Elephas maximus indicus: one gene and its partners. The main gene of each other region encodes a partner of the protein of the gene in region 2 in a complex. Links are inferred from orthologs where the notes say so. Each region holds a gene or a part of one and is shown on either strand. Other genes may lie near its edges. The genes, in order: ANP32A, TREX1 and nucleoside diphosphate kinase A.

What was found.
Region 1: TREX1 (region 2) and ANP32A share a complex: the UniProt entries of both Homo sapiens proteins name them as parts of the SET complex. The link is inferred for Elephas maximus indicus from reciprocal best matches to the Homo sapiens genes TREX1 and ANP32A.
Region 3: TREX1 (region 2) and nucleoside diphosphate kinase A share a complex: the UniProt entries of both Homo sapiens proteins name them as parts of the SET complex. The link is inferred for Elephas maximus indicus from reciprocal best matches to the Homo sapiens genes TREX1 and NME1.

What each region holds. Positions count from the first base shown.
Region 1 is NC_064831.1:58,980,629-58,988,158, forward strand, and holds the start of ANP32A (acidic leucine-rich nuclear phosphoprotein 32 family member A), read right to left. Parts: upstream 3,039-7,530; 5' UTR 1,388-3,038; coding exon 1,304-1,387; intron 702-1,303; exon of another isoform or gene 519-701; intron 1-518. UniProt on the Homo sapiens protein: Multifunctional protein that is involved in the regulation of many processes including tumor suppression, apoptosis, cell cycle progression or transcription. Promotes apoptosis by favouring the activation of caspase-9/CASP9 and allowing apoptosome formation.
Region 2 is NC_064838.1:53,003,827-53,009,997, reverse strand, and holds TREX1 (three-prime repair exonuclease 1), read right to left. Parts: upstream 2,171-6,171; 5' UTR 2,079-2,170; intron 1,811-2,078; 5' UTR 1,784-1,810; coding exon 839-1,783; 3' UTR 511-838; downstream 1-510. Other genes in the region: ATRIP (ATR-interacting protein), read right to left, coding at 2,841-2,908, 3,311-3,563, 3,767-3,844, 4,316-4,407, 4,556-4,692. UniProt on the Homo sapiens protein: Major cellular 3'-to-5' DNA exonuclease which digests single-stranded DNA (ssDNA) and double-stranded DNA (dsDNA) with mismatched 3' termini. Prevents cell-intrinsic initiation of autoimmunity.
Region 3 is NC_064837.1:42,629,545-42,636,477, forward strand, and holds the start of nucleoside diphosphate kinase A, read right to left. Parts: upstream 3,037-6,933; 5' UTR 2,893-3,036; intron 1,534-2,892; 5' UTR 1,530-1,533; coding exon 1,404-1,529; intron 1-1,403. UniProt on the Homo sapiens protein: Major role in the synthesis of nucleoside triphosphates other than ATP. The ATP gamma phosphate is transferred to the NDP beta phosphate via a ping-pong mechanism, using a phosphorylated active-site intermediate.

The DNA of each region.
Region 1 (7,530 bases), on a different chromosome or scaffold from region 2:
GAAAAACGGAGAGAAGTGGGGCGGGGGAAGTAGGGAGCGCGACTGGGGTGAGGGGAGCACTTGCCGGGAGGACCGTCGCCCTCCCGATTCAACCGCCGCTGCGACGCTCCGGCGAAACCTCGGGCTGTAGGCGTGGGGAGAGAATCCCCATCGGGGCCCCGAGAACGATTTGGGGTCCCCTGTGCCGGCCCCCCCCCCCCCACTGCCTCCGTGCCCGGGGCCGTCGGGGCAATGGCGCAAGACTCCGCTCCCCCCCCCACAGCGACAACATCCACGGTGACAAAATGGCAGCCCGGCGCCCGGCAGTCGTGCCACAGGCGCGCAAGGCCTTGGCGGCTGCCCTCGCCCCCCCAATAACGCCTCGCGCCCCTCGGGCTCGGCCCCAGGCTGGCCTGCTTGTGAAAAAAAATCCTAAATTAAACACCTCGCGCTCGGAACCACTCGGGAAAGCGCGAGGCGGGGCCGGGGGCCGAGGCGGCGCGCCCGCGCCCCGGCCCGCGCGCACGGCGTCCCGGCCGCCCCGGCGCCCCGCCGCATGGAGCGGGCGCCCGCATTCCGAGCCCCGCGCTCCGCGCCCGCCGCGCCGTGGGGGAGGGGCGGGGCGGGCCGCGAGAGACCCGGGGAAACATGGCTGCTCGTCCTAGTTCGGCGTCGCGGCGTGGCCACCAGCCGCCGGAACAGAGTTGGGAGAGGCTCCGAAGGTGGGTGTGTGGGGGCCCGGGGGCAGCGCGGCAGGGAGGGGTGCAGGCAGCGCTCTCCGGGAGCTATTTGCATTTAGGACATTTTAAAAGAAAACAGTTCCTCCTCCCCCACCCCTTTTGTCCCTCATTAGGTAGCCTTTTCCCCCTCCTATCCAAATATGCAGAAAGTGTCCTCTCAACCCCCATCCGCTCCCCACCCCTCCTCAAGGCCGGGGGCAGGCGAGTGGGCAGGGAGACTAGGAGGCGAGGGGGCGAAGCGTGAGAAATCTCTCCCAGTTCGGCGCGTCGCGCTCCCCTCCCCCAACACACACACCACACACACACACACACACACAGAGACACACACTCGGTGAAGTTTAAAGAGCCGGTTCGACCCGCTTTCGATCTCGCTCCCAATTGGCCAGCAATGTGTATAGGGTTCGTCCGGCGAACCGCGCCCCCACACCGAGCAGCTGCGACCCCGGCCCCCTACTTGGCGCCCTTCCCCCTCCGCACCGGGGGCTTCCGGAAAGTACGCGGGAAGACCGCGGCCTCCAACCCCCTCCCCCATCACCACACCCAGCCCCAAATCCTCCGGCCCGGGGTCCAAGCTGGGATGATACCGGCCAGAGAAAGAAAACCGCCAGCGAATTGTTCGCGGAAACTCCTGCTTTCTCCGGCGGCCATCCCCCAGCCCTGCGCGCCATAAGGCACTCGCTCGTCTCCAGTCCACAGCTGCGTTATGATGGGGGTGGGGGCACAAAAAGGCTCTTGTTTTCAAAAGTCACACTCAGGTTTGGGGGAGGAACTAGGGAAAAGGGGAAGCAAAGCCGACCTCCGCCAGGGATTCGGGTTTTAGCGGGTTAGAGAGGCGACAGGTCAGCGCACAGTGCTACCCAAATTCCCAACTCTGCGCAAACACGGCCACCGAGGTTATAGAGGGTCCTCCTCGCCCGCCCGCGCGCCCCAGATCTCCCCGCAGGGCCACGAGGGGAGTCGGCCAGCGTCTTCGCCCCGGGCCTGGGGGTCTCCTCCGCTGAGCCAACTCGCATAAAACACTCATGTTTGCACGCGGGAGGCAGACCGAAATAAAAACGAGCGTGCAAGTAACCCACCCTCACTGTCCCCTCTCCTAGGAGTGGGCTTTTGCCAGAGCCTCCCGGTTCCCATCCGTGTAAGTTTTCTCCGGCCGGACTCCTTCCGCTGCCCAATCAATAACGGCGAAGAGAAGGCAAACTCCGTCCCGGAGCTGCGTGTTTTCTATGCCCGCATAAACCTGGACCCAGCCAATACCCAGCACCAGCTCTGGGCAGCTCGCGTCCTGACAAAGTTTCCCGTGCCCATTTATGAACCAGGCGCGAATGGCTGCCAAAGAGCCCACCCCAGAGAAAGCCGGGCTGGGGGCTCGTGTTGACGGGGAGGCGAGGCTCCGAGGCTGGCATCTTAGGGAGGCCGGAAGGAGCTGGGGCGAAGGGGTCCGGGACGTAGCCTCTCGGTAACTTGCAACAGTGGTGGCTCGAGGTGGGGAGGCGCGGGGATTATCTGTGCCTTTCCACGTTCGAAAATCCCTCCCCCCGCCTTCTAATTTATCCTCCCTTCCGAAGGAAAGGAAGAAACATCAGCATCTGGCCCGAAGGTGGGGTGGAAAGAGTGAGAGAGAAAGAGGAAAGGAAGGGAGGCAGAGAAAGGCAGGGAGGGAGGGAGAGAAAGGGCGCGTTCACGAACACTACAAAGTTACAAATATGGCTCCCCCGTCTCTCGCCTCATCACTGCAAAGAAATGAAGACGCACTTTAAACTCGAGCCATTCCCAACTCCACTGCAGCCCCCTCCCCACGCGCTGTCCCCGGGGGCCTCGGCCCACATTTATCTGAAACTAAACTGGACTCGCGAAGCCCAAAACTTATTGTGTGTGAGAGAGAGAAAGGGAGGGGGAAGGCGCGGGAGGGGGGGCGCGGAAGGAGGGCTACGTTTATAAAACATAAAAGCCCCTTATTTTTGTTGTTAAATCCAGGAGGCAGCCCCTGTCCTCCCCCTCCCTCGTTAATCTTTCCCCCCGACGGAGTCACGGGAGCAGCGAGCTCAGAGGGTGATTTTCCCTCATTCTCTCCGACCCAAACGCGTGCGCCCGCTGGCCCCTGATGGGTGCACATTCGCACGCACACTCGCACCCACACTCGCACACTTGGACGCGCACACGCGGGAGCACACGCACAGGTAGTCACACACCAAGGGCAGCGGCAGCAGCAGCCGGAACATGCTCGGATGGCATTGCAATCCCCCAACCCTGCAATTCATTTGCAGTCCGACTCTCAAACCCACACCTTCTGGGCGCCCCCCTCTCAAAAAACAGTGCCTCCCCCCCAACACAGACAGACAAAGTAGGAGAATGGACCGACAGAGATATTTTTGGCAAATGCTCACATCAGAGGGCGTCCTGTTCCGCAGCTCTAAATGAATCCGTTTGTCCATTTCCATCTCTCGCTTGCTCTCTCTGCAGAGGCTCCCGCGCCGGCGGAATTCAATCAATAAACCCCGAACCCACGGCCGCGCGTTTTAGGACTTTGAAGGCTCAACCAGCTCCGCTCGGTTCTCGAGCCCCCAGCACCCGCAGCGCACACTAACCTGATCGCCGTGGAGGCGGGACCTGCGGCCCCGAGGACGAGTGGCAGCAGCCAGAGCCAATCATCGCCGAGGGTCTCCGGGCAACAGCCCATGGTGGCGGCGGCGGGGGGGAAGGGACCAATGGGCGGGCTGCGCAGCCGGCCAGGGAGGCTCAGCCATTTGGTTGTGGTGCCGGAGACGGACCCCTTTAGATTTCGGGGCGGCCGAGGAGCGCGGTGGCTGCTCGGTGGCTGAGCGAGGGGGGTGGGCGGAATGGCGGGGGAAGGGAAGGTGACTGTGCCTCGAGGGCCGAGCCTCCCGGTCGCGCCAGTCCGCCGCCGCCTCAGCGTTTGGCCGGGGGCGGGGCCGCAGGTGCGTTACACGGGGGGAGGGGCGCGGCCGGAGGGGTCGGGTCGGGGTCCCCGCCGGGCCCCAGGCTTAGCGCGGCCGCTCCGGCCCGCCCGATGGGGTTGCGAAAGGAGGCGGGCGGCGCGAGGTCGGGGTCCGCCGGCTGCCCTTCGGGCTGGCCGGGGGAGGCCCGGAAAGGGGGGAGGGGTCAAGGGTGCAGCTGGGCGGAGGGGCTGGTCATTTTCTGGGTCCGGAGGGCTGAGCTGGAGGAGCGTGGCCGTCCCCCTCCCGCCACACACACACACTTGGTGGCCGCGGCTCAGCCCAGCGCTCCCCTTTCCCTCGGCCAGGGCCATCGCTGCCTCTCAATAAATAAGAAAAGCAAAATGTTTCCTTCCACTTTTGGATGACTTTACCGTGCGGTCTCGACCCTCTCCGTAGGGAACAGCGTGGGGGGGGGTGGTCACCAAGAGGCACCAGGGTCTTGTTTAGACAGTATATGAAGACCATGAACTTGGAATAAGAACTGTTGATAAATGTATATAGAACATTAAAACGTGCAAAAGGAAGGTGCTATTATAACTCCTGGGTTTCTGGGCCAAAAATAATTTATGGGGTTTTATAGACATAGTTGAAGGAAACGGTGCAGTTCATTTTAATCGTCCATTTGAGTCATTGGTTAGATTTGGCTTACCAGGGAGGCTCTACTTGGAGCATTTTCACCAGGTGTTTTTGCTTTACCTGCTTTTAGTTTGAATCACATTAGTTTTAAGAGACCTTAAAGTCTTAATTCTCACTGGGTTACCAACTACTTACGGCCAGGCCTAGACCTTCGTGTACTAAATTGGCTGCCTATGGCTTTTAATAAATCACAGGAATTGTTAACAAGGACAGATACAGGCGACATCCTGCAACTTAACACTTTATTCAGTAAATTCTTCTTTCAGATAGAATAGTAATAAATGGAATTTAAAAACTGATAATGCTTACCCTTTGAGTAGTTGGGAAATGCAAAATAAAAAAGGCATTTTAATCGATTTGGGTGTACCTAGAATAATTTTAACTTGCTGGCTTAGCTGACATACCTGTCATCTTTAGTTTTGTTAATCTCATTTTAGCTTGGCTGCTAACCAAAAGGTCAGCAGTTTGAATCCACCAGCCACCCCTTGGGACCCTATGGGGCTGCTCTACTCTGTTCTATGGGGTTGCTATGAGTTGGAATCGACTTGCCGGCAATAAGTGTGGTTTGGTTTGCATAGTTGGAATTTTTTTTTTTTTAATGGTATTGGTTTCTTTTTAAAACATAAGGAAGGACCCCAAATTATCTCTTTTACCATTGAGTCAGTTATTTCTGAATATGGTATTTAAGGTTGTTTCAAAACAGACCTCTGGAAAACATCACAAACACATTAAATCAATAAGGTGTGTAGCATCTATGTAACATAGTAGCCCTGACGTTTATGTTCTAAGTGGTAAAGACTCATCTTCAACTTAAAACGTTTACCACAGTTAAAATGGGATATGGGACAGTACCTTTGCAGAGGAGGGATCCCTCAAAAGCCATCCACTCAAGTGCAGAGATGTGTCCCATCCAATACTCTGAAACAGAAGCAGATAGCTTTAGAGTGTAAGAACGGGAGAGTATGGCTTGGAAGCTCAAACCCCCTTTAAAGAGTGCACCTGAACAAATTAAGATACGGAAGAGCCCTTCATAGAGTGGTAATGTTTAGAATTGGAAAAATTGCAGCCTGATCACTATATCAAAATATGAAATGTAACACAGTTGTTTTTAAAAGCATCTTGCCCTTTAAAATTTTAACTGCTTTTGTATTAGTGTTAGAAAATTGAAAGAATGCTTTCCTGGATATCTGTCAGTATAGAATTTGAAATATCAAAAAAGGCTCCATAACTAATTGAATACTTAACTTTTTTCCACATACTTTGAAAGAAGAGACTTCCTCTCACTTTCGCAGACAGAAGTTAATGTTTGTAGTTTATTTCTAAGGAGCCCTGGTGGCACAATGGTTAATGTCCAGCTGCTGACCAAAAGGTCAGCAATTCAAACCCACCAGCAGCTCCAAGGGGGAAAAGACCTGTCGATCTGCTCCTGTTAAGATCACAGCTTAGGAAACCCTATGGGGCAGTTCTACTCGGTCCTATAGGGTCTCTCTGAGTTGGTGTTGACGGCGCACAGGAAGTTTATTTCTAAGAAAATTTTCACGTGGTACTGATTTAATTGTCAAAAGGAAACAGACATAGCTCGGGTAAAACTGAGCCATCAAAAAAATCAAAACATCAAAAAATATTTGCTCTTATATTCCTTATTTACTAGGGTTGTTTCTTAGATTACATTTTATTGCATACTATAAACCAAAAAAACCAAACCCAGTGCCATCGAGTCGATTCTGACTCGTAGCGACCCTTCTATAGTAGTAAAGAAATGCTCTGAATGGCTCTGCAAATCGGAAGATAATAGTAAAAGAAGCCCATACCAAGGACTCTTGCTGAATTTTGATGTGGAGTTGGAACAGGGTGAGTTCCTAATTGCTGAGTGATTCTGCAATAGGAGTTAGGTTATGAGAGGTGTAGAGTCTGTGACTTCTGTAACTGGGCTTGATTCACACTGGAAAGAATGAGACAGTTTTGAGCCCTGTCATGGATTGAATTGTGTCCCCTAAAAATACGTGTCAACTTGGTTAGGCCATGATTCCCAGTATTGTGTGACTGTCCTGCATTGTGTGATTGTAATTTTATGCTACAGAGGATTAGGGTGGGATTATTACTCCCTTACTAAATTCACATCCCTGATCCGATGTAAAGGGAGTTGCCCTGGAGTGTGGCCTGCATTATCTTTTATCTTACAGGAGATAAATGGAAAGGGAATCAAGCAGAGTGGGAACCTCACACCACCTGGAAAGCAGCACCAGGAGCAGAATGTGTCCTTTGGACCCAGGGTTCCTGCATGGAGAAGCTCTTAGTCCAGGGTAAGATTGATGATAAGAACCTTCCTCCAGAGTGGCCAGAGAAAGCCTTCCCCTGGAAAAGACACCCTGAATTTGGACTTGTAGCCTACTGGACTGTGAGAGAATAAACTTCTCTGTGTTGAAGCCATCCACCTGTGGTATTTCTGTTATAGCAGCACTAGATGACTAAGACAAGCCTCAAGGAAGAAAGATGGTTCTCAAGTTAGAAAAGATATCTTTCTGTCTTGCAGAATATTTCCCATCAAGAACCATTCCAAACAAATGAGCAGCCTATCTTGTACTCAAAGAGGGATGAGGAATGGGTGTCCTTAGCCTATCTTGATAAGTGTTAGAAAGTATTGTTTTATAAATACCCACATCATTGCTGCTGCCATGTTGGCTCAATTGCCCTTGTTTGGTCTCTAAAGACGGAGACCCTCTACTGAGCATCCTTTCCATGAGTGAGGTTAACGTATTCACCATTCAGCTTTTTGTTCAGCTTGAATCACATACACTGGAACCTGGCCATTGTATTCTTTTACCTACATCATGGTTCTGCTGCTTAGACCCCAAAAACAATGATATGGGAAGACTCCAGCTTAATTATGTTCTCCTTTGTGTTTCTATATAAATAGCTTTTAGAAATATATTCTTTTGAAATCCAGGGTAACAAATGTGAAGACTACTGCATTTTGATATGAATAGCAAAGGAATGTTGAGGCCCAGGATCTAAAAAGTTACTTATTCTTAATTTTCTTGTACTTAACAAAGCATTGGATGGATTTTTTTTTTTTAATTGTGCTTTAAATTTTTTTTAAATGAAAGTTTACAAATCAAGTCCGTCTCTCATACAAAAAGTTATACACACCTTGGTATGTATTCCTAGCCGCACTCCCCCTAATGAGACAGCACGTTCCTCCTCTCTACCCTGTTTTC
Region 2 (6,171 bases):
GCACCTGAGAGCTGTCTGCCTGGACTGTCCTTGCACCCTCCCTGGGACCACCTGGAGGCCCATGTCCACCCACAGTTCTAGCTGCCTGTGGAGAAGCTCTCTTGCCCTTGTTGGCCCTGGCCCTTGCCATAGTGGGCAGGATGGCCTCTGTCCAAAAACAGACTCAGGTCTCCTCCCTGCTCTGTTTTTATTTTTGGCCAAGTATTTTGTCCCATGTTCTGGTTGGTAACGTGCGTGACAGTTGCGTGAGGCTGAAACTCTTGGGTCCTGGGGGGAAATTGGCCGACAGAGAGGTGTGGTCTGACCTTTCTGTCCCTACTCCCCTGACACCAGCCCCCCGGAACATTGAACTCCTTGTACCTCAGTCCACAATTCATCCTGGCAGCGGGACACCTGGACCGAGAGGCTCTCTGGACCAAAGGTGGGGCGGGGCTGCGGGTGGCAGCTCAGGCCCAGACATGAGTAACTTGGTGTTCTTATCTTCTGTTGTTTCACCAGAAATGTCTTAGCTTTGTATCTGCTGCTATGTTTCTGAGAAATGTTGTGGGGTCTGCACCCTTGTTTATAATAAATGCCAACATTTGGAACTGCTTCCCTCTTTCTTCATAGCCTTGGCTGCAGGGATTGGGCATTAGGCTGTGTACCATTTCTTCCCACCACTTGGATTTTCCGTGATTTTGACCAAGTTTCTTCCTACTTTTATTGGGCTCAGACTTCCTGCTGGGGAGAAACAGAAACTTGTCCCCTTCTGTGTTCCCCACCCCAGAGGACAGTGTGTCAGGAAGCAAATGACCACTCACTGGCGCTGGGGGTCTTTATTAGATTTTCTTCCTCAGCCCTACTGTCCAGTTGTGGCCAGGGACAGCCCATACAGTGTGGCTACTGCCAAGGTCAGGAAGGCCAGCAGGCCCAGTGGGGCCAGCAGCCCCTCCTTGGGTAGGATTCCAGGGCCCTCCAAGTGAAGAAGACTCTTGGGGCTCCTGTCCCCACCAAGGTTGGGACTAGTGTCCCTGGTTGTGACCAGGGTCACAGTGGCCGTGGCAGCTGATGGCCTTGGGTCGGTCCCAGTGGAGGCATCAACCCTATACATGGGCATGACAGTGCTGAAAGGCCTGGCATGAGCATCTACCCACTGCAGCAGGGCCTGCGGCCTCCACTGACAGATGCTGACCAGGGCCAGGACGTCCCCCTCAGCTGTGTGTGAGTCTGGTGGGGCCTGCCCGAAGAGGCGTGTGTAGATGCTGCCCAGGCTGTAGCTCTTCCTTAGGCCGCGCTCGGAGGGGCTGCTGGCATGCTCCAGGGCCTTCAGGGCAGTGATGCTGTCCACACAGAAGGCGCCGTCCAGAGCACTGGCAAGGCCCAGTGCAGCCAGCTCTGCCTGGAGCAGGGGGAAGTCATAGCGGTACCCGTTGTGTGCCACGAGGCACCAGGGCTGTGGCTGGCGCTGTAGGAAGGCTCGGAGCAGGTTGACCAGGTTGACATTGAAGCGCTGACGCCCATGTGCTGCCAGTGCAGCTGTGCTCAGGCCCGTGATGTCGCTGGCCGCAGGGCTACAGGCCTTCCCAGGAGCCACGCATAGGGAGAGCTTGTCTACCACGCGCGGCAGCGGAGGTACGGTGGGAGGCGGCCCCTGGGGGCTGGGGGTGTTCTCCAGGGCACATCTGTGGATGGCCAGCATGCATAGTTCCGTGACCTTGGGCTGGGAGAAGGGCAGGCCAGTGGCCTCCAGGTCCAAGAAGATGAGAGTCTGCATAGGACCCCAGGATGGGGCCTGTGAGCCCATGGAAGGGACTAGTACCTGCTGCTGAGCCTGGGGAGGAACATGGGGTAGGGGTGGGGTGGGTGAGTGCCCCAGTAGAAAGATCGATGGTGGGGGTGGGGTGGGGGCAGGAAGCTGGCTCAGAGAGGGTGGGGTGGCTTCCTCAGTGCCAAAAGCACTCAACTGTGGGTTTGTGTGTGGGGGTCTCCTTCACATGAGTTTGGCGCCTCCCCTAATGCCCACCTCGGGGGTAGCACCCATGGACATCTTACATAGCCTTCTCCTCCTCCCGCGGATCTCCCTGGGGGTCTGCACTCACCGGAAACAAGCCGCAATCAGGGCCGCACACCCTCCGTCTGGTTCTGGGGCTGGCCAGCAGTGGCGGGAAGTGAAACGCAGCCTAGGCCCTGCCCCCGCCCCGCCGCAGGACTAAGACCCGCCTACGTGCCCACGTGAGCAAGGCCCGCCCAGTTCTTAAGCCGGCTGGGTTTAGGCCACCCACCAGCGCCCTTCGCTTCCCAGTCATTCCTTCCCTCCCTGCAGTGGCGCCCCAAGGACTTCTCAGATGCACAGCTGTGGGCCTGTGCACAGTGCACCAGGGTGCTCACCCCAGTGAGAGCGCCACCTGAGGACACCGTGCCCAGGCAGTCCTGGGAGGCTAGCTCCAAGACTAGCTCTGGCACTGCTGGGAGCCCCTGGCCTGGCCCTTTTGCACCCACACCTTGGCCCACTTTCCCAGGCCTCCCTAGTTTACGTCTAGGGTGAGGGGCCCTCCTCTGCCACACGAAGGTTTCTTCCCATGGCCCTAGCCCAAAACAATGACTCAGGGCAATTCTATAAGCAGGGCAGTGCTCTTTATGGCAGATTAGTTACCATGGGGATGGGATCTCAGCTCTAGCCAGGGACAGAAGGAAGGATCTCAGCCTTTCTTCTCTGGGTCCCTGTGCCATCCCGCCCACTCAGCCAAGAAGACTCAGGAAACACAACACCGAAGCTGGTGTTCTCGGCCCAACAGCCCCTCACTGCTTTTAATCAGTTAATGAAGGGAGGAAAATGGTGGTGCTGGCAATGCTCACGGGCCTCAGGCACAGTCCATCTCGGGGTCATCCACATCGGTCTCGGCAGCACAGAGGTCATCCAGGGCTGCCTCTGAGCCAGAAAGAAAAGGGTTCTATGGTGAAGATGGGAAGGTGCTGGGGGCTGGGGGAGGTCCCGCCTCTCTTCCCCCAGCGCGGGCAGGAACTAACCAGTCCCTTCCAAGCCCAGGCCTTGCTCCCTCAGCTACTGCAAGCAAAGTGATACAAAGGCAATTCAGACAGGGATACTTCTGGAAAAACCGTGGCTTTGCCAGGCCAACTCAACAGATGCAAGCAAAAGGCAGCCCAGTGTGATCAGAGAAGAACCAAAGCAGGAAGACAATGAGCATGTCCCCAGGGCAGGAAAGGCTGTGACAGATGGGGGAGGGGACTGCTAAGTGAGGCCAGGAAGTCGACCTTGTCCATAAGCTTCAGGGAAAACCCCACGTGTGAGTAGATCCTCTTGCCTGCTCACCTTCACAGTCTGTCACATCAGGGAGCCCTCGGATCAGTGTGCTGACCCCTGGCATCACCTGGTCATACTGATGCAGGACTTCCACGCAGTGCACAGTGAAGAGTTTGTCCTTCTGGGACAGGCTGTGCAGCAACAGCACTGTGTCCCGCAGACACCGCACTGTCCGCTTCTGCTGGTCAGTCCTTGGGGGCCCCTCTGCCCTCCGTACTGTCAGCCACTGTCTGTGCAGCATCACCGTGAGCGCTCTCACCACCTGATGGGGGAGGGGGTCAAGTCTCCTAGCTTCCTGTGCCTAAAAACCTGCTCAGCTGGGCAGCACATTTCCCAGCATCCCAGGTGAGGAGGTTTCTGAGTGGTGGGCACCAGGTTTAGGAGTACGGAGTCCTTGCACAGGGCCACCTTGCCCACTTGCAGAGCTGCCACATTGTTGGCTGCTACCTGCCCCTGGCCACTCACCTCCATGTTGCACTGGCAGTTGGAGCCAGTGACTGGGGAGGGGCTCTGCACACCAAGCTTTGCCAGGAGCCACACCACCTAGAAGAAGAATGAGGCAGTTCCATCCCCAGCGGAGTGAGACCAAGACAGACAGGGCCTTGCCTGGCTTCTCCTAAGAGCTCCAGTTGCTTTGGCAACTGCTTATCTGCACAAATGGGGTCTAGGTGTGGTGTCGTGGGGCCTTCCCAGGCCAGACTCAGGACCCACGCCTGTGTCTCACCAACAACCCACCTGCCCCCAGGTCGTTTTGGCTACCAGGACTCAAAGCCAGGATAGGATCAGTCACCAGGCAGGTCTGCCAAGTCCCAGGACAACTGGGATGCACCTTTATCCTATCTGTGTGGTGTGGCAACCCCAAACTGACTTCACCTCCTTAGATGCTTGATAAGCTGATTACCAAAATGAGTTAAAGGTCCCTTTCTCCCTGGGCCGGGAAGGACAGAGAAAGGAGGCTTGTGGGCCCTGAGGCAGAGGTGGTGAGCAGTCCACAGTGGGGTCTGGAACTTTTACCTCTTGTTCCAGCTGGAGCCACTGTCTCTCCGAGGCCACTTTGTCAGGCCTTGACGTGATGTACATGTACAGCAGCAGGAGGAGGCAGCCCTCTGCAAAGGATGCCCCACTTCTCACTCAGGGTGCCCTTCTCACCCAGAGCTGGGGGACAAGCTGCAGGCGCCTCAGGAGGCCCCTGACTCTGTCCCAACCCTCCCTCCAGTCCGCCGAAGTCCAGCTGTCCGCCCCGCCTGGCTTTACCCGAATGGGCACAGAGCTGAGGGGCAAGCTTCTCGTGGTCCACCAGCAGGGAGAGGAGCTCTACAGTCAACAGCACGCTGGGGATGGGCGTTTCTGGGCTGAGGCACTGTGGCAGCACCCGGAACACACACTGGAATCTAAAAAACAGGTCCAGAGAGACATGACACTCCCCAACCCCAATTCCACAGTTCATCACCCTTGCTTTTCACTAGTGGTCAAAAATCAGAGTACCTGTTCCCATTGCTGTCGAGTCAATTCTGACTCATAGTGACCCTAGAGGACAGAGTAGAACTGTCCCATAGGGTTTCCAAGGCTGTAAATCTTTACAGCAGACTGACATGTCTTCCTCCTGCCAGTGGCTGGCGGGTTCAAACTACCAACCTTTCAGTTAGTAGCCAAGTACTTAACCACTGTGCTACCAGGGCTCCTTTAAAACCTGAGTAGGGCAGAATGAAGAGACAATGTTCAGACCTGGATTCAAACGCTGGCCTGACCACCACCCACTTGTTACAAAACTCGTCATGTGAAAATGTGGGGACTAACCTTCCCCGCAGGTCTGCTGAGGTGGAAGGCTGTCAGGCCCTCACCTGGCCCAGCATTCTTCAGAGAATGGGAGGACTCCCTGGACCTGGAGCCTGGCCCACACTCAGCTCCCAGGCTTTCCTGCCTCTGCCCCCAAACAGGCATGATGTCATAACATGGTGTGAGAAACGGTCTTCAATGGCCAGGGAGTGTGGGACTTTGTGGGAGATTGAAATTTAACCTGGTTGTTACCTGATTTCATCAGGCAAGCTGTCGAGTCGATTCTGACTCATAGAGACCCTATAGGACAGAATAGAACTACCCCATAGGGTTTCCAAGGAGCAGCTGATGGATTTGAACTGCTGACCTTTTGGTTAGCAGCTGAGCTCTTAACCACTGTACCACCAGGGCTCCAAACTAGTGCACTATAGCCCCTGAAACTATCTTCAAGGAAAAAAACCCCTTTATATACAACACAGTGGTTTCCAACCTACTTTTTGATAGCATCAGAACCTTCTTTTTAAATGAAATTTTATATTCGAAGGGGGTGAGTCCTATTTGCTCAGAACCCCCTGCTGTCCCAGTCCCTGGGGGACAACCCTGGACCCCTAGGGCTGTAACAGATGCAGTAGGAACAAGACAAGGATAAGAGGGATGATCGCTTTAAAGACTGGATGGGCGACGACCTCCCTTTTAAGGCTATCGAGGAACAGAAGGTGCCGCAGCCTTCCTGGTTACCTGTACTGCATCACGCTGCTTTCGAGCCTCGACAGCCTCCTGACCCAAGCTTTAAGCCCAAGGTAGACAGGAAGCTGCGTGTAGGGGGGTTCAGCTTAAGCATGGAAAGCATAAAGGAATTCTGAAGAGAATCACTGAGTCGAGGTGGTATGAGACAGCGATGAAGGGCAATGTTTCAGGAGACTGACAGATGGCCTGAAAGCCACCCTTCTCCACCAGCATGCTCCCCATGGAGCTGCAGACAAGTTTCCCTACCTTAAAACAGGGTTTATTCACTCAACAAATAATGCCTGAGTGCTTACAGTGAGCCAGGCTCTGCGCTAGGTCTGAGGATGCAGGGCTATAAGGGGGTCACA
Region 3 (6,933 bases), on a different chromosome or scaffold from region 2:
CAAAATCGGGGGGGGGCTCAAGTTCTCCCTTGCCTCCCTCCTCCACATCAGGTTTAAATAACTCCTTTGATTCATGGCAGCTATCCCTCCTCTCCCTCCTGTCATTTTTCACCAAATCCATGTCCTTAATAGGAAACTCAGTATAAAGGAAAAGATGTATGCACTTAGAGGTCAGAAGGACCTAGGCTAAAACCCCAGCTGCATTCCTGACAATATGCTATCAGGCACATGACTTAACTTCACCAAGCCTCAGATTCCTCATCATTGACAACCAGAAAATCAAAAACCAAACCCAATGCCATCGAGTCTAAAGGACAGAGTAGAAATGCCCCATAGGGTTTCCAAGGAGTGCCTGGTGGATTCAAACTGCCGACCTCTGGTTAGCAGCCATAGCTCCTAACCACTACGCCACCAGGGTTTCCCTAAAAATGAGAAGAATAGGAAAACCCACCTCTCGGGGTTGTCAAGAGAGATAGGTGTGAAGGCATTTGTGAGAATGCCTCTGGCAGTGCCCCCTACAGAGTAAAATGCCTGGTCAACAATACTTTCGTTTCATTTTACCTTTAAAACCTAATATGCAAAGCCTTTGGAAAGCATTCTTTGTCCAACACCTGGCTCTAATAATCCTGTCATGCTCCCCGCTCAGCACTAACTTCCATCTCAATCTCTTTATATGAAAGCAGTTTTTCTAAAACATTACACAGGAACTAAATTGCAAATTAAACTAAATTTAAAATGCACTAGGAGATGCCAAAGTTGACACCTTTAATGGAAAAACGACTGTCCTCTAATTTATTTGCATTGGGAATTTGAATTCTCACCTCTTAGATTTGTCTGAAGAAGGGTTCTTGATCGATTAATCCTTTGCATGTATTAAAATGTTGCTCTGTAGGCGTCATGCTGTTTCAGGAGAGCCTCCCCAGGGGCAAAACCAGTTCCCCCCCACACACTTCAGTGGTGCCTAATATATGCTAGACACTAAGTGGGTGGTAATTGATGGTGGAAATATTTCCTTAGTGGACATATTTCCTTGCTGAAAAACAACCTGCCTCGGAGGATGAAAAAAAAAATGTTCTCTAAAATTATCTGCTGAGGACGCTTGAGGCCAGTAGCTCAGACGTGCCCAGCAATGACTCAGAAATTACAGTGCTGCAGTAATAGGTGGAAGTCTGCATTGCTAAAGGAAAGGAGAGACTATTTTCTAAAGCCCCAAATAACATGGTTCATTCCCAGACTGGGTCACAATGCTGGGCCACTGAGGAGTTTCCAGGTTTCTGGACATTTGTGCCCACATTACCACAGAGAAGCCTAAAAAGGAGAGGAGGAGAGAAACAGAGAACTTAACCTACAATGTTCCCCTGTACTACCAAGGAATTGAGATAGGAAGAGTGGAGTCAACTTACCTGCATGAATTTCAAAGCAACAAGGCGGAATCCTTTCTGTTCAAAACGTTTGATGATGTCTCCCACGAGGCCCCGCTGGACCCCATCAGGCTTGATGGCGATGAAGGTGCGCTCACTGTTGGCCATGGCCCTGGAGATTGGCAGGTGGATGAGTGCATCGGCACTGAATATCCTACCTACATCATTATCCTTCTCAAGCTGATTACCCATAAAGCTGGTTTAAGCCCGTCATGTCAGCTCCAAGTCTCCAGTAAAATTTCAATTCCCCCCACCCCTCATCTATGAATTAATATCCCAGAATGGAGACAAGTCCAAAAACAAGGGTGGCTATTTCTATGCCATTTAATAGTGTGGCAAACTAAGGTAAGGGATGTAAAAATTAGACACTATCTTTCTCAGTAATCCAGATGGGGAACAATGATAATATGAAAATGCCATCTGGTACAGGGCAATATGAAATAAAGCTTGACTTAAGGCCACAGTCATGGTATTAGAACTGGAAGAGGTTTTAGAGACTGCTTCATTAAAACCCTTCATTTTATAGGTGGGCAAACAAGTGCAGAGTACAAGCTGGGGCCAGAATCCAGAATTCCCAGCCTCAACTTTATGCAATTATGCTACACTCTAAGATGGAGTGAATATTCTGACTACAGAACTACAGCTAATAGTAGTATCTGATATGGGACTGTAAATCCACAGATCATCATGCTGGAAGGAAGCTTAAAAACGATCTATTACAGACCTTCCCTTCACAGAAGAAATTGGACCCATGACCTGCCCTGTCTCAACACAGTGAGAAAGGAGGAGGAAGCCCCTCATCTTGGAAGACAATTCCTGGTGTGGATAGTAGCACCAATTCCTAGCTCTTAGCTCTATCTTCTTATAATTTATTTAACCTATTATAGCACCTTAACACGGTGTCTAAATTTTCCGCTTGTGTCTGTCTCACCAATGGTCTGTGACCTGCATACAGAACTGAATTACTCCGTATCTGTCCCCAGCACCTAACCACAAAGGCTAGCACTCAATATGAGCAAAGAAAATGTCTCCTCCCTCCAAGAGATAATGTGCTAGGGACTGGGTGGAAAATCCAGATTGAAGCTCGGGACAAGCATGGACTCTCCACGAGAAAATGGGGCTAAAGAACCAAAAATAGCCCCTATAAGTGTTCCTTCCCTCCCACCCGCAGCACATATACCTATCATTCATTCCACAAAGACTTGCTAAGCACCAACAATGTACCAGCCACTGTATTCGGCAGAAATAAACAGTTCATAATCCCTGCCCTCGAGACGGGGTAGGAAGAGCAGCCACGGACAAAGGCGAGTCCACGTGCCGTGGGACGTGCGCCGGCAGGTTTGCAGCTGTCGACAGACGCTCCATGGCCCTTTCCTCCCATCCGAGCCCCTTCCCTGCCTCTCAAAGTGGAACTCTTCACCCCCGACCCCACTCCTCTTCCTTTCCTTCCAGGACTCCATGCCCTTCTTACCCCTCCAGCTGCTTGGACTTCAATTCTGGCAGCTGCCGCCGGCACCGGAAACGCGCCCCTGCCCCACGTGGTTCCCTGCACGGACGCGCGCGGAACGTTTCTGTCCAAATGGGATGCCGAAGAGCCCGTTTTGCAGAACACCACTCGGCCACGCTTCCTTTTGGGGGTAGGATGGCATTCTAGGGAGCAGCCTTCCGGTGTTTAACTTCCGGCATTAGTTTCCTGCTCTTCCGGTAGCGTGAGTCCGTTTTTTTTTTCCGGTTCTGTGACTCGCTTCCTTCGTTCGCAAGCAAATTGGTTTCCCCGAGAGGGGGCGCCGAGACCTTGCATGAAGACTGAAGGGGCACCTGACAGACATGTTAACATGTAGTCGTTCCTTCTTTAGGTCAGTCATGCAATAAGTTATTTTTTGACGACAGTGGGTTTTAGTGGACCGTGTGCTATGTACCAGGCGCTATTCTGGGCACTGTGGATGTAGCAGTAAACTCTCTTGGAGCTTCTGGTGGGATTGAGAGCAGGGAAAAACAATAGGCAAATTAATTAATATGTAATAAATGTGGTATTATATAAGTGCTGTGAAGACAAAGGAAATCTTCGTGGCGTGGTTAAGAGCTAAGGCTGCTAACGGAAAGGTCAACAGTTCGAATCCACTAGGCTCTCCTTGGAAACCCTATGGGGCTGATGTCATCTGACATACTTTTTAAAAATTCATTCTGACTGCTGTATGGGGAAAGAACGGAACTGGGAACAAAATTGAAATCAGGAGTCTTCTTGGCAAAGGGTGCTGAAACAATTGGCGAACTATAGGCGAAAAAAAAAACCACGACCTAAACCTCACACCATACACAAAAATTCACTCAAAGTGGATCATAGATTTAAATGGAAAATGTAAACTATAAAACATTTTTTAAAAACAGTAAAAAAAAATCTTAAAGGATCTAGGGCAAGGCAAAGAGTTGTTAGATTTGGCACCAAACTCACAGTGCATAAAAGGGAAAATTTGCAGCTCATGAAAATTAAAAACTTTTGCTCTGTAAACACCTATGAAGAGGATGAAAAGACAAGCACTGATGGAGGAGAAAACATCTGCAAACCACATAGCTGATAAAGGCCCTGTATCTAGAAAATACAAAGAATTTTCAAAACTCAACAATGTTTTAAAAATCCAAGTAGAAAATGGGCAAAAGACAAGGACAGACTTTTCACTGAAGAGTATGTACAGATGGCAAATAATCAAAAGAAAAGATATTCAATGTAATTAACTATTGTTGTGCCCTGGAGTCAGTGCCATATGTAATAGAGTATGACCGCGCCCTAGAGTTTCCTAGGCTGTAATCTTTACAGGAGCAGATTGCCATGTCTTTTTTCCTATGAAGCAGCTAGTGGGTTCCAGCCAACCTTTCCTTTTGGTTAGCAGTCAAGCGCTGAAGTGTTGCACCACCTGGGCTCCTTTCATTAACTATTAGAGAAGTACAAATTAAACCACAATTAAATACCTTCCATAATAGCTAAAAATATAGTGACAATACCAAATACTGTTAAGGATGCAGAGAAACTAGATCACTCATACATTTCTGGTGGGAATGCAAAATGGCACAGCCACTCTGGGAAACAGTTTGGCAGTTTCTTGTAGAACTAAACATGCACTTACCATACAATCCAGCAATTGAACTCTTGGGCATTTATCCTAGCGAAATCCAAGTTTAGGTTCTAGTCACACAAAAGCCTGTACAAAATGTTCACAGAAGCTTTATTTGTAATGGCCAAAAACTAGAAATAACCCAAATGTCCTTCAGTAAATGACTGAACAAACTGTAGTACATCCGTACCATGGAATACTACTCCACAGTAAAAAAAGAACAAACTATTGATACATGAACTTGGTTGGATCTCAAGGGAATTATGCTGAGTGAAAAAAGCCAGTATCAAAATATTATATATGATATCATTCCATTTATATAACATTCTTGAAATAACAAAATTATAGAGATGGAGAACAGATTGATGATTGGCAGGAGTCAGGGGTAGGAGGAAGGGGATAATTGTGGCTGTAAAGGGGTAACAGGAGGAAGTCTTGTGGTAATGGAACAGTTCTTTTTCTTGATTGTGGTGGCAGCTACATAAATCTACACGTGTGATGAAGTTGCATAGAACTATACACACATGCACATGAATGAGTGCATGTGAAATGAGAGATCTGAGTTAAGTTCTATGGATTGTAGCGATATCAGGTTCCTGGTTTTGATATTGTACTGTAGTGAGGGAAGATGTTGCTATGGGGAAAACTAGGGAAAGTATACATGGATTTCCCTAGGTTTTTATTTGTTTTTCTTGTAACTTCTTGTAAATTTATAGTTATTTTTAAATTAAAAATAAAATTTTTTAAGTGGAATTGAAACACGTTAAGAGTACAGTAGTAGTCCAAGGGAGAGATGATGGTGGTTTGCAATAGGTGGTGACAAAGGAGATGAAGACAAGTGGTTAGTTACAGGATATATATTTACGGCAGAATCAACAGGCTTGCTGATGGAGAGGATATGGGGTGTGAGAGAAGGAAAAATAGATGATGACTCCTAGTTTTCTTTTTTTCTTGAGAGGGTGCATTAAATGTCAGTTCAATAGAGTTATTGACAAAGCATTTTCCCAGTGGTTGGAGTCCACTATACTAGTGCTTCTCAAACTTCTGTATACAAACAAATCACTTGGGAATTTGTTAAAATGCGTATTCTGATTTAGTAAGTCTGAGATGGAGCCTAAGAATTTGCATTTCTAATAAGTTCCCTCATGATTCTCATGTGGCTGATTGGTAAACTCTGTAAAGCTATATCCTAAAACCAAAACCAAACCCGTTGCCTTCCAGTTGATTCCAACTCATAGTGACCCTACAGAACAGAGTAGAACTGTCCTATAGGGTTTCCAAGGCTGTAATCTTAATGGAAGCAGACTGCAGCATCTTTCTCCCGCAGAGCGGCTGGTAGGTTAGAACTGGCAACTTTTCAGTTGGCAGCCAAGCACTTAATCACCAAGGCTCCTTATCCTAAAACTAGGTGCTTTTAAACTGATGATTTAAGCGTTACTAAGTGGGGATGATCTTGCCCAGGCAGACACTAGGGAAGGGAGTTGGGGAGTAGAAAACAGGTCACATCTCTTCTAGGAACCATGGTAATTACATGAATCCACTCTCACCCTTCTTTCTCAACGAATAACCCCCCAGGCTTCCCAAGGTAAATGTTTCTGCAAAGCAAATTATGAAACTGTCTTTGTGGAGTTCAAAGCTAGAAGAAATCTTAATAGGCATAGGAACTAATCCTGTCTCCAAAACCCTGGCAAGTGATCATCCAGCCTTGAAACCCTCAGGAATGGGAATTCACTACCTCAGGCATCATCAGATCATTCCTTTCCTCTGGCCCCCCATCCATTCCCTGCTAAATATACCTGCTAATTCAGTGTATTCACAGCTCAAAATAATAATAGGAGTAATGTTTAGTGAACTGCATTAACAGTATCAAACATTGTGGCAAGAGAAAGAGCAACCACTGGGCTGTCTTGATGGGGTAGGGAAAGATTTTATAGAGGTAGGATTTGGATACACAGAAAGAGGGTAGTTAGTAGATAAGGCTGTAGGTATTGGGGGATCAGGGAACTAGTCAAAAACAAAGGATGCAACCAGGAAAAAGTAGTAAATTTCTGAGAAACTAATTAGACACTCCCAACAGAATCTTATGGAACAGAGGGGATAAGGTCATCAGATTACTGACAAGCCTTGAATGCCGGCCTGGGAAGTTTAGACTTTGTTGTTTTAGGTGCTGTCAAGTTGGTTTCGACTCTTATCAACCCTATGTGTAACAGAAGGAAAGGTGCCTGGTAAAGCACCACCCTCACAATCATTGCTATGTTTGAGCCCGTTGTTGCAGCTGCTGTGTCAATTTATCTCGTTAAGGGTTTTCCTTTTTTTTGCTGACCCCCTACTTTACCAAGCATGATGTCCTTCTCCAGGGACTTGTCCCTCCTGATAACATGTCCAAAGCACATGAGACGTAG